3 linked regions of the Sus scrofa genome follow. The protein of the gene in region 3 interacts with the protein of the main gene of each other region in a pairwise test. Links are inferred from orthologs where the notes say so. Each region holds a gene or a part of one and is shown on either strand. Other genes may lie near its edges. The genes, in order: IMMT, SNCA and myomegalin.

Evidence for each region.
Region 1: the proteins of myomegalin (region 3) and IMMT interact in a two-hybrid assay, tested with the Homo sapiens proteins (2 studies listed by BioGRID and IntAct, with this or other methods). The link is inferred for Sus scrofa from reciprocal best matches to the Homo sapiens genes PDE4DIP and IMMT.
Region 2: the proteins of myomegalin (region 3) and SNCA interact in a two-hybrid assay, tested with the Homo sapiens proteins (2 studies listed by BioGRID and IntAct). The link is inferred for Sus scrofa from reciprocal best matches to the Homo sapiens genes PDE4DIP and SNCA.

Annotation. Positions count from the first base shown.
Region 1 is NC_010445.4:58,630,009-58,632,987, reverse strand, and holds the end of IMMT (MICOS complex subunit MIC60), read right to left. Parts: intron 2,669-2,979; coding exon 2,539-2,668; intron 1,573-2,538; coding exon 959-1,572; 3' UTR 651-958; downstream 1-650. UniProt on the Homo sapiens protein: Component of the MICOS complex, a large protein complex of the mitochondrial inner membrane that plays crucial roles in the maintenance of crista junctions, inner membrane architecture, and formation of contact sites to the outer membrane.
Region 2 is NC_010450.4:129,246,499-129,250,651, reverse strand, and holds the start of SNCA (alpha-synuclein), read right to left. Parts: upstream 2,929-4,153; 5' UTR 2,851-2,928; exon of another isoform or gene 2,727-2,850; intron 2,094-2,726; exon of another isoform or gene 1,366-2,093; intron 1,249-1,365; exon of another isoform or gene 1,227-1,248; intron 878-1,226; exon of another isoform or gene 554-877; intron 477-553; exon of another isoform or gene 384-476; intron 245-383; 5' UTR 220-244; coding exon 99-219; intron 1-98. UniProt on the Homo sapiens protein: Neuronal protein that plays several roles in synaptic activity such as regulation of synaptic vesicle trafficking and subsequent neurotransmitter release.
Region 3 is NC_010446.5:100,720,522-100,724,171, forward strand, and holds part of myomegalin, read right to left. Parts: intron 1,567-3,650; coding exon 1,429-1,566; intron 710-1,428; coding exon 590-709; intron 363-589; coding exon 270-362; intron 145-269; coding exon 1-144. UniProt on the Homo sapiens protein: Functions as an anchor sequestering components of the cAMP-dependent pathway to Golgi and/or centrosomes.

The sequences.
Region 1 (2,979 bases), on a different chromosome or scaffold from region 3:
ATTAATTTATGGGTAGAGAAGGGCTGACACAGTGTTATCATAAGTAGAAAGGGGAAGCGGTGGCTCCAGAAACTGTTTCCTGTGTACATGCACAGAAGTGTGTCTGGCTGAATGGGTCCCAACATAAAATACAACTTCTTCCTGTGGTAGCAGTCAAAAAAGTTTGGGATACATAGTACTCCTGGTGCCTTTGAAATCACTAGAATGGTGCATGTACAGCTGTAAATGCATTGGCATTTTGGTTTGTACATAACTATTGAGTTTGACTGGGAGGAATCAGTTCACCACAACCAGCCAAGAACAGGCCTAGAGTATTTCTGGGGCCTAGTCCCCAGCCTGGAAACCAACTGCCCATAAGTTCCTACTTCTGCTGTTGCTGCTTCTCCCAATCTCCAATTTCCTACAATACAGATTTTTAGGGGTGGTACTGGAGCTGCAGCTGCTAGCCTACAACACAGCCACAGCAATTTGGGATCCTAGCTGTGTCTGCAACCTACACCACAGCTCATAGCAGTGCTGGATCTTTAACCCACTGAGTGAGGCCAGGGATCGAACCTGTGTCCCCATGGATGCTAATCAGATTCGTTTCCTCTGCCACCACAGGAACTCCCAGAAGTTGCATTTTTTGAAAAGGGAAAAGCTACAAAAAGTTTTCACCTTTCTGTTTTTATTCAGTTTGCTCCAAGGGCAAAATCAATAGTAATAGTGATCACAAACATCATTTTGATTGGCTCGCAAGCCTGATCAGTAAAACCTGAAAAACAGAAAATGTTACACAAGTTGCAAATAAAGTACTCCTGGAGTTGACTGACATGATAGCAAGAGGAAATAATACAAATGCGACAGGCGTGAACACAGAGAACAGTACTTGTAACCTCACTTGTAGGCCCTGTTGCAAACCCGTCACATATTACTCATTTCCTCTGACCTGAAGTGTGACTGTGAGACCTCCTAGCCCTCACTCTTGCTGCACTTGGGTGGTTCCTATGCCTACGGCGCTGGCGTATGCCGTCAGGATTTCCACTATCTGCTTAGTTTCTAGGGTCATTCGGGCCTCCTTCAGCCAGTCCTGGGCCACGCGTCTGGACTCCCCTTTCAGCTGATTGACAAACTTAGCTGCCAGCTCCAGGTCACCATGCTCAATGCAATAGGAGGCATAGGCCAGTAATTTAAATGTGCTGGTATCCTCAGGGCAGAGCTCTGCCGGTGGCTTCAGCTGCTGAGGTGGGAACAGGAGCAGGGACTGTAAGTAGGAGAGGAAGTACTGGTATAAGCTATTTCTGGTCTCATCAATCATGGCTACTCTTCGGGCCAGTTTCTGGACGGCATAGAAACGGACTCTAAGGGTCTCTTCACTATACACGCCTCGGGTCAGGGACTCTGGAGGGAGAGCTGCGGTTAGAGCCTGGGTAAATTCAGAATCGGAGCAGCTGGCTCTGACGGCCTCGACCGCGCTCCCCAGGGGAACAGTGGGCAGATCTGGGGACGCCGTCTTCATGCTGTACTTTAATGCCTCCACCGAGAGCCAGAGTTGGTGGGCTTTTCTGGCCTCCTCTTCAGCTACTGCATGACCTGTTGGGGGGAAAAAAAGCAAAGACTTTTTCTCCACCTGACCACACAACCGTCTCATATATCCAGAGAACTGATATGCCTTCAACAAGCTAAATAAAGAGAAAGGTGGAGCCGGAGACGGCCTCTTTCTTCCAAGCCCATCCCACCACTACTTGTGATGCGTTTTTCCTAGCAGACCTCTTCACATGAGGCGACAGGGCTTGACATAATCTGATGAGGACTTATTTTAACTAAAACCATGGACAAAGCTGGGAGGATGTGTGCACAAGCACAGCTGAGTCTCCCTTCCCTCTTCTTGTGACATTTAAGACAACAGATACCAGATGTATTTATCTTTAGAAATATTTGAGAAAGAAAGGATAAACGAGGCTAAGACATAATAACTAAGGCCATCAGAAACTTCATGGATAGGAATGGAAGACGACTGGATCTGGACATTTTATGGGTACTTAGCTTACTCTTACACTCATCTGCCAAAAACAATTCCATCACATCCCAAAGAAACCCATTTCATTGACATCTTCACTATAAGGACGTTTTACACTTTCAACAGGGCAGAGAGGCCCCTGTAGCTACCCTCCAGATAAGCCTCCAACAGCAGGGCTGGAGACAAGACAAGAGCCTGGAGGACAAGCATGCAGCACACCGCAGTTCTGCTCCACTCAGGGCACGTGAGACATAACCAGAGTGTTGGGTAAACTGCCTTGTAAATGGTGACCTCTTGCCTGTCACCACATAAGGGAGTAAAAACCTCAAGCTAGATTCTTTTTCATTTCTTCTCACAACTGTGTTCCAAACTTATCAAATCTGGGGCTAATTTTCCAAGAGATGAATATAGTTCAATAAGAGTGACTTGGGCCTCTTCATTCCCTAATGTCAACGATGTATATACCATGATCCTTGTAATAAGAAATCACCCTAAGAGGTGGGGCTGACTGAAACCATCTCTCAGGCCTGTGCACTTACTCTGAACAGCCTGCTCGATTCCTCTCAGTCTGGCATAGGCAGTGTTTATATCCAGAGTGAAGTTGTCGACTTGCTCTTGACTGAGCCGACGAAACTGTAATTCTTGTTCAGTGAGTTTCTCAGATAGGTCCTGAAATGATAAAAAGTGCACAGAAAAAAGGTGACGCTGCTTCAATCACTGCATGTCATTTATCGGGCCACTAAGTCTTCCAGCAGCTGATACCTTCAAAAGCAAAGAGGGCCTTTGACATCTCAAAGCAAGTGTCATGAAACTCCTACATTATGTGTAAGGTTTCAGAAATTACCTAAAGCTTATATTTGATGTATAATCTATAAATTTACAGGTGGAACCTAATATTAGAGGAAGAAGAAAAAAGTCTATTAAAGGGAGAAAGTGACAACTTTAGAAAATAATTGTATTTAATATCTTGTACTTAAGAG
Region 2 (4,153 bases), on a different chromosome or scaffold from region 3:
GAAGCTGCAAAACTGAGAAATACCAGCATTTAAGGCATCAATCACCCTAACCCACCAGTCATAAATAAATTTCAAATTGACATCTAGGGCTTACCTACCTACATAGAGCACACCCTCTTTTGTCTTTCCCGCTGCTTCTGCCACACCCTGTTTGGTTTTTTCAGCAGCAGCCACGACTCCCTCCTTGGCTTTTGAAAGTCCTTTCATGAATACATCCATGGCTAATGAATTCCTTTACACCACACTGGAGAACACAAAATACACTTTGAGAACTTTGGGGTAAAACAAAACGAAATTAGAACCACCCAAGGTAAAAATCACTGAAAGATCAGTAGACTCCCCCGCCCCCCCCCAAAAAAAATGCAGGACTCTTGTAGGTGTACCTCTGTTTCAACCACTGGACAAAGCAGCCTTTTTTTAGCTTTTGCATTAAAAATTTAGCATCTCCCATCCATCTTGTTTGGTGGAAGTCTAGCCTCCTAAACATGGATTGGGATGAATCATCTGAGTTGTTCTCACCGCATTCCAAGTGGAGTTACATGAAAGGACTTACCCCCTCCCCCCTTTCAATTTCCCAGGGTCCAAACGATGAAGGTGTTAAGTTAGAAGTGCGTTTAGAAGACAGATCACAGGAAACGGAAAAAGGAGCTGGAGGAGGGGGGGTCAGAGATACTCAAAATAAATCCCCCAAACAGCTAACAGGTTGATCAGGAAGAGGGGTGGGAAGAGAACCACTCACTCTGGGTGTGGCTGAACCCCAGGCCAACTGCAAGCCCACCTGCAGTGGCTCTCACCCACTGGACGCTGTACCCCACCTTCAGCTGTCTACCCTGAGCAGGCAAGCAGGAGCGTTCACACCTGCAGGCAGTCTCCGGATGCGCGCCAGCTGCCAGAGGTGGAGTTAGCCCGCTGAACCCGCCACCCACCCGGCGCCCAGCACCTGTTAACCCCTTCCCACCTGTTGACTTGCTCTCTCTGCGCTTCCATTTAAAGGCTTGCCCAATACAGCTTGCTTACTTTACAGAGAGAACAGAGAGGGTGGGCTGGGGGATTTAAGGAAAGTAAGAAATAAAAGTTGAATAGTTATAATCCTTCGAGCATCCTCGACTTTCCCAAAGGAAAAGCGTATCCCGGAGAATCCAGACCGCTCAGCCTTTGAGGACGAGAAGAGAGGTAAGCCGAGTCAATTTACTTTCCTCAAGCTCACCAAAGGGGTCAGTGCCCACCTCTAAGAGAGACTCGACTATGGCAGGTCCTCACCGCAGCACTAACCCCCCCCCCCCCCCAGGCGCCGCAATGACTCTTCTCCCACCAGGTTTTCTCCAAGATTTCCCAAGCTGCCCACTTAGATTCACAGGTACTTACCTGATTCCCTTGGCTCCTGAGAACTCCGATCCTCCCCGCACCCACTTAAAAAATTTTAAAAACAATTCCTAAATATTATTTAAATGGGAGGGAGGAGGATAGGAGCGCACAGGAAGGGTGGAGGCGGCACCAGGAGAGGGATGGCCCTCAGCGGAGGCGGCTGTCGGCACAACCCTGGGGGGAGAGGCTGGGGGCGTGGGAGGGAACCCGCGAACCTGTCGTCGAATCGCCACTCCCCGTCCCCCGCACGAGAGGATTCCAGGCAGAAGAAGGGAGGAAGGGAAGGCGGCGAAAGAGCGCCAAGGCTGCCAAAGGCAAGGCGCGGTCCCCGGGTCTGCTCCAAAGCCAGCACACACCTCACCCCCACGTCGCTGCGCTCTGTCTCTCGCCCCCTCTCCTGGGTCCCCTTCTAGTGGTCTCGGTCCTTCTCCTCGTCTTCCTCCTCCTTCTCCTCCGCTCCCCGCCCCCGCAGCGGATTTGTCAGCGCCGCTCCCCGCCCCGCTCCCTGCGCGCGTTGCTTTCCCCGCCGCGTGCACTTCACTCCTCTTCTCGGATGGGGGTGGTGGGAGGCTGTACCTCCAACGCCAGCCGCCCGCCTGGGCTTGGGAGACTGGAAGGTGGGGTGTTGGGCGGTTCACCTCAAGTTCAGGGGCGCCCGGGCTCTGGCGGCGATCCGGAGCTCTGAGGCTTGGGCTGATGTCTGATGTCTGTTTCTCTCTCCCCATCCCCCCTCCTTCCCAGTCTCCGCCTTTCCCCCCGGTTTTTCCTGCGGACCCCCACGTCATGAGCCAGCCCGGGGAAGTGGGGTCTGAGGGCTCTACCACCAAAATAGCGCCAGTCTTTCGGGGAGCTGCTAAAGGAGACAGGTAGCTTCGGAAGGTACCCGCATCAGGACCAAGCGCAGGTTTCCCTCGCATCACTGAAATTGGATGAAGGGTCCTTAGGACACAATGTTAACGAAGCTTTTGTTTAACTATTCTCCGGATTTAACGTTTGTTCTTAACCTCTCCTGAGCCCGAAGTGGTCCGGCAGGTGGAGAGGCGACTAGTAAGGATGAGTTACAGGTTGAGGAGGCAGGAGGAGGCTCGTCAAATCCTCTTCCCACCCCACTATCACCATTTTCTTTCCACCAATCAGCGGCTGCCAGACGCTGATTTTTCCCATCAGTGGATCAAGGAATAAATATTCCCCAGCCGTCGAAACCCAGCGGCTGTAAGGCGTTTTGTTCTCAGAATGGGATTTACTTTCCAGATTCCTGTTCCTGGATGGAAGAGATAAATCCAGAGTGACTGAGTCTCCTGAACCGTCATATCCAATTTCATGGGCCCCTTCTGAAAAGAGAGATTCCACATACCACTCACCTTTCCGACTACTGATTCACGTTGTCCTCGGGGCTGACAGGCTACCCCATCCCACACACAGACACACAGACATACACATGCACGAGCTTCAAGACAATTTTTGCATTGCTTGACACAGTTTCACCTTTCAGAGCTGGAGGGAAAACAGCTGTTCCTGGATCACACCGGAATGGAGAACCAAGCTCCTCCCCCTAACAGACTGCCTCTGCTTGCTTTGCCTGGAATAGGAGGATGCTTTTAGAACTGGAAGGGGAAAAAACAGGTCTTTGCAGATTTTTTTTTTTTTTTTTGCTTGTCTTGTGTTTATTTGTGTGTGTGTGGGGGGGAATTTCTCTGATCCTTGGACTCACATTCTGGAATGTGAGTAAAAAGTAATTTAAATCTACAAAAACAACAGTTTGAAACCCAAAGAGATGGGAAGCAAGTATATATATTGCTTAACCTACTCCTTGCACTGATGGTCGGCCCTTTTAAAAAGTAGGCTTTCTAAAAACGCTCCTATTTTGTTTCCTGGGGAACTTGGAAGGAAACTTGGAAGTTGGTTTGCTTTTTGGCTTTGAGAGCCAATACAAGTTATGTTCAGTTTTCTCTTGTAAAGGGAGAGGAACCAAGATGATCCCTCTCTTTTCAACTTTTTATTATGGGAAATGTTCAAACATACAAGAATGGAGAGAATAGGAATTCCTGTTGTGGCTCAGCAGTGACAAACCCAACTAGTATCCGTGGGGATGCGGGTTCCATCCCCAGCCTCACTTAATGGGTTCAGGATCCTGCATTGCCATGAGCTGCAGTGTGGGTCAGGGATAGGGCTGGGATCTGGTGTTGCTGTGGCTGTAGTAGTAGTATAGGCCAGTAGCTACAGGTCCAGCCACCCCTGGCCTGGGAACTTCCATATACTGCGGGTGCACCCCTAAAAAGCAAAACAAAAACAAAAATAGAATAAAGGACTCTCCATGGAATATCACCCAGCTTCCACTGTTTTCTTTCTTCTTTTTTTTTTTTTTTGTTGTTGTTGTTGTTGTTATTGTTGTTGTTGCTATTTCTTGGGCCGCTCCCGTGGCATATGGAGGTTCCCAGGCTAGGGGTTGAATCGGAGCTGTAGCCACCGGCCTACGCCAGAGCCACAGCAACGCGGGATCCGAGCCGCGTCTGCAACCTACACCACAGCTCACGGCAACGCAGGATCGTTAACCCACTGAGCAAGGGCAGGGACCGAACCTGCAACCTCATGGTTCCTAGTCGGATTCGTTAACCACTGCGCCACGACGGGAACTCCTTCCATTGTTTTCTAATGCAGTCAACCACGTGCATCTGCATTCTTGTCTATTCCCTATATTTATCACTACTCCTTCCCCCAATTTTTACTAAATCCCAAGAATTATATATGTCTTTTCATCTGTAAATATTTAACCCTGCATCCATAAAAT
Region 3 (3,650 bases):
ACAGCGTTTGGCATCAGTCAGCTGCCGTTCTTTTTGTCGTACCACCCTCTGAAGCTTCTGGATCTCAAGCTGGCTGCAGAATAAAGCACTCTGAAGATCAAGCAGAGCCACCTGTTGCTGAGCTGGGGAAGTACCCTCAGAGGTCTGAAAAGAGAGTGGAAATCATTATCACAAGGAGGGCAAGCACTGAGCAGCCGAGAAGACCAGCAAAATCAAGACTATGACTGACAGTTGGGTTGCCCCTCCTGTCCTCCGTGACCATCACATACATGCAGTTGTCCAAGCTGGCTCTGGTGCAGCATTTCTCGAAGCTTTGCCATTGTTTCGTTTTGACCTTCAATCACCTGGTACAACTCCTCAGTCTGAAAATGAGAGAGGGAGTACCAAACATATTAGCCAACTAAATAAACATTCCATTATCTCATCTGTATAGATTTTAGCATCAAGACTACTCCAAAATACCCATTCAGATGACACTATGATTTTTCTGTTAGTCTGACAATATCCATTTCTATAAATTACAGAATTCTTTCTACTTTGATGGGAAAAAAATGTTTCCTCATAGGTCCTTGATGGCCAAACATTTTACCTCGCTTTCCCTGCTTTTCAGAGTTTCCTTGAAGCTTTGAATTGTACTATCTTGCTTCTGAGATGACTGCTGAGCAGACTTTAGTTCACAGCTCATTTCATTCAGTTTTTCTTGAAGAATCTGAATTCAGCAAAGAAAAGCAATTTCTTAGGTCAATGATTTCGTTTAACCTCCAATACAACTAATTCTCAAGTCCTTCTTCAATCCCAGGTTTAAAGGATTTCTCAGGGAATATTACCTTGTTATTTTTTCCCCAATATAGTAACCATTCTAGTCCTAAGTTAATCAGCAAGAGAAAGGAGCGGGAAATATGAACTACTTCCTTCAACACTCTCTTGCTTCAATTCTCACGCACTGTGCTTTCTCTATACTGGCAGCCATACTGGACTCTTGTCCACACAAGTCACTGTGGATCTTTTACATAAAGACCAAGGAGCCACTACAGGACAGGACACAACAAGGGCACACCAGGCCAGGAGTGCAGCATCCCATATTATGGGAATTTTCTTCTAAGCAGATGTTAAAAATCTATGGGCTATAAAGGGGTGAGAAGTTAAACTAAAATCAAAAGCATAAACCTTCTGTCTCAGTGCCTTAATACAGTTTAAAAAAAAATGCATTTAGGCCCAAAAGGCACCAGAAGTTCTGATCTGTGCAGAACAGACTAAAATCTTGATAAGAGATAAAGAAAGAAGTACACTTTTAATCATATATTCCACAGAGCACCAGGCATACAGTCTCCATCTTCCAGGTCCTACTCAGAGAGATTAACAGACTCAGCTAGAGCCAGTCACATTCTCAGGAAACCCTGTGATCCAAGGGCATGGTACCAATCATACCTTGTTGGTGGCCTCAGTTTGCTGGATTTTTTCCTGGAGTTCTGCCAAATGGGAATCAGATACAGACTGCTGAGTTATAGCAGTCTCATCTGAATTCAGCTTTTGTTGTTTGAGTAACTCTTCAGTCATGGTCACAGGCTAGAAGCAGCAGCAAGACAAGTAAGCTGAGTTAAATGTAGCCAACCATACATTTTAATTTTAATCTTCAAATATCTTAGGCATCTTTGGCCAGAGACTTTGAAAACCAGGGTTCTTGTATGGATCATGAGTATGAATTTCTGGAGACAGTCTTCTTCCTTATTGTGAGTGCTGATTTACTTCCATCCTTCCCATACTCCCTAGCTCCCCAACCTACCTTTCCCTACGAGCCTGCACAAACACTATTCAGTTAAAGCAAATTATTCAGAGATTAGAAAGAAGGACTTTTAAAAAATATTTACTTTATCCTATTTTCAGTCAGGCAATTCAAAGGATCAAACTTATACTGTGCATAAGAGAGAAAAAGCTACAGTTCAACTATTTTTCTTACAAACATGCCTATTCACATTACTGGAAAAATGGGTAGATTTTGAATATGGACATACATTAGATAATAGTAGTTTATCAATACTAAATGTCCTAAATTTGGTGATTGTACTGTATTTATGTAAGAGATGGCCTTGTCTTTAGAAAATACATGCTTATTGAGTGTAAAGACGCATAGCATCTGCACCTAATTCTCAAATAGTTCAGGGATTTTTAAAAAAGAGGGTCTAGACAGTGGGAGTGATAAGGCAAATGTAGCAAAATATTAGCAACTGGTGAAACTGGGTAAATATTAGCAATTGGTGAGTCTAGGAGTTCCTGTACTTCATTTATGACATTACTAAGTCTGGAATTATTTCAAAATACAAAGTAAAAAAATAAAAACAAATTTAAAAACCTATGGTGGTCTGAGAAGGAAGTATGTTTTATAAGAATATGAATTCACCAAAAAGATTCAGGAGAGAGAAAAAAAACCACATATATTTGGGAGATCAATCAGACAAAGATAAACTTATTGAACTGTACCTAATATTCATTATGAGCTAAGATACAAAAATAAAACTTGAGCAATTCACTGTGGCATTAAATCCCATCTCCTCTCTCCCTGCTCTGCCCCTCTCCGCCCCTACCCCTATTAGGAACAATACAAATTCCTTAGGAAGAGAAAAAAGGCAATTGCTGTTCATTTTTTCTTTACCTTATACATTCAAATTCTCTGATTACCACCTTCCAGGCAGTGGGGTTACAGCTTACCCTAAATCTCTTCCTGCCAGAACTGGAAGTATAAAGATTTTAGGAAAAAAAAAAAATAAAAAAGAAGAAAAAAAAATCTTTTCTATTTTTCCAGTGCTGTTTATCATTTTCTAAAAACATCTATGAAGTTCCCTAATATGCAAAGCACTGTGGGAACAGGACTGTGGAGCTACATAATAAAAGAACAAGGAAATATAAGACAGTGACAAGACATATGTTGTAAAATAGGGAAGTATGACAGTGTCTATTAAATTATTCTAAATGGGTAGATCTGTGGAAGGTCTCTATCAGGCAGCATTTAAGTGGAGATCTACACATCTACATGATAAGAAGCCAGCTCTGCAAAGATCAATAGAAATAGTCTAGGTAGAGGAACAGCTAATGGAAAAGACCTAGGGCAGCTATGACCTGGGAAAGAGAAAGGCCTAAGTGGTTTGAGAAGCACTTTCCAATAGAAATAAGTGAGCCATATATGCAACTTAAAATTTTCTAGTATCTTTCCTGACTAAAGTAAAAATAAACAGGTAAACTTAATTTCAATAAAACACTTTATTTGACCTAATATATCTAAAATATTATCATACATTCTTTCTATACTAAGTCTTTAAAATTAGGAGTATACTTCACACTCACAGCGTATTTCAGTTTGGACTACCCGCACTTCAGGTATGAGATGAAACAGCCACACAAAACTAGTGGGCAGCCTTGCTGGACAGCACAGGACTAGAGCATAAGGGGCAAAGGGGATGGTAATAGACAATGAGTTAGAGAGGAAGACAGGGGCCAGATCAGATGTGCTTCTGTATACCAGAGATAATGAAGGTGGATTTCATTCTCATTGAAATGAAAATGGACTGCAGTGTTTGTAACAGAGAAGAAATCAATCATATTTAAATTTAAAAAAGATCACTCTAGCTGCTCTGTGCTGAATGTTGAAGAGCACC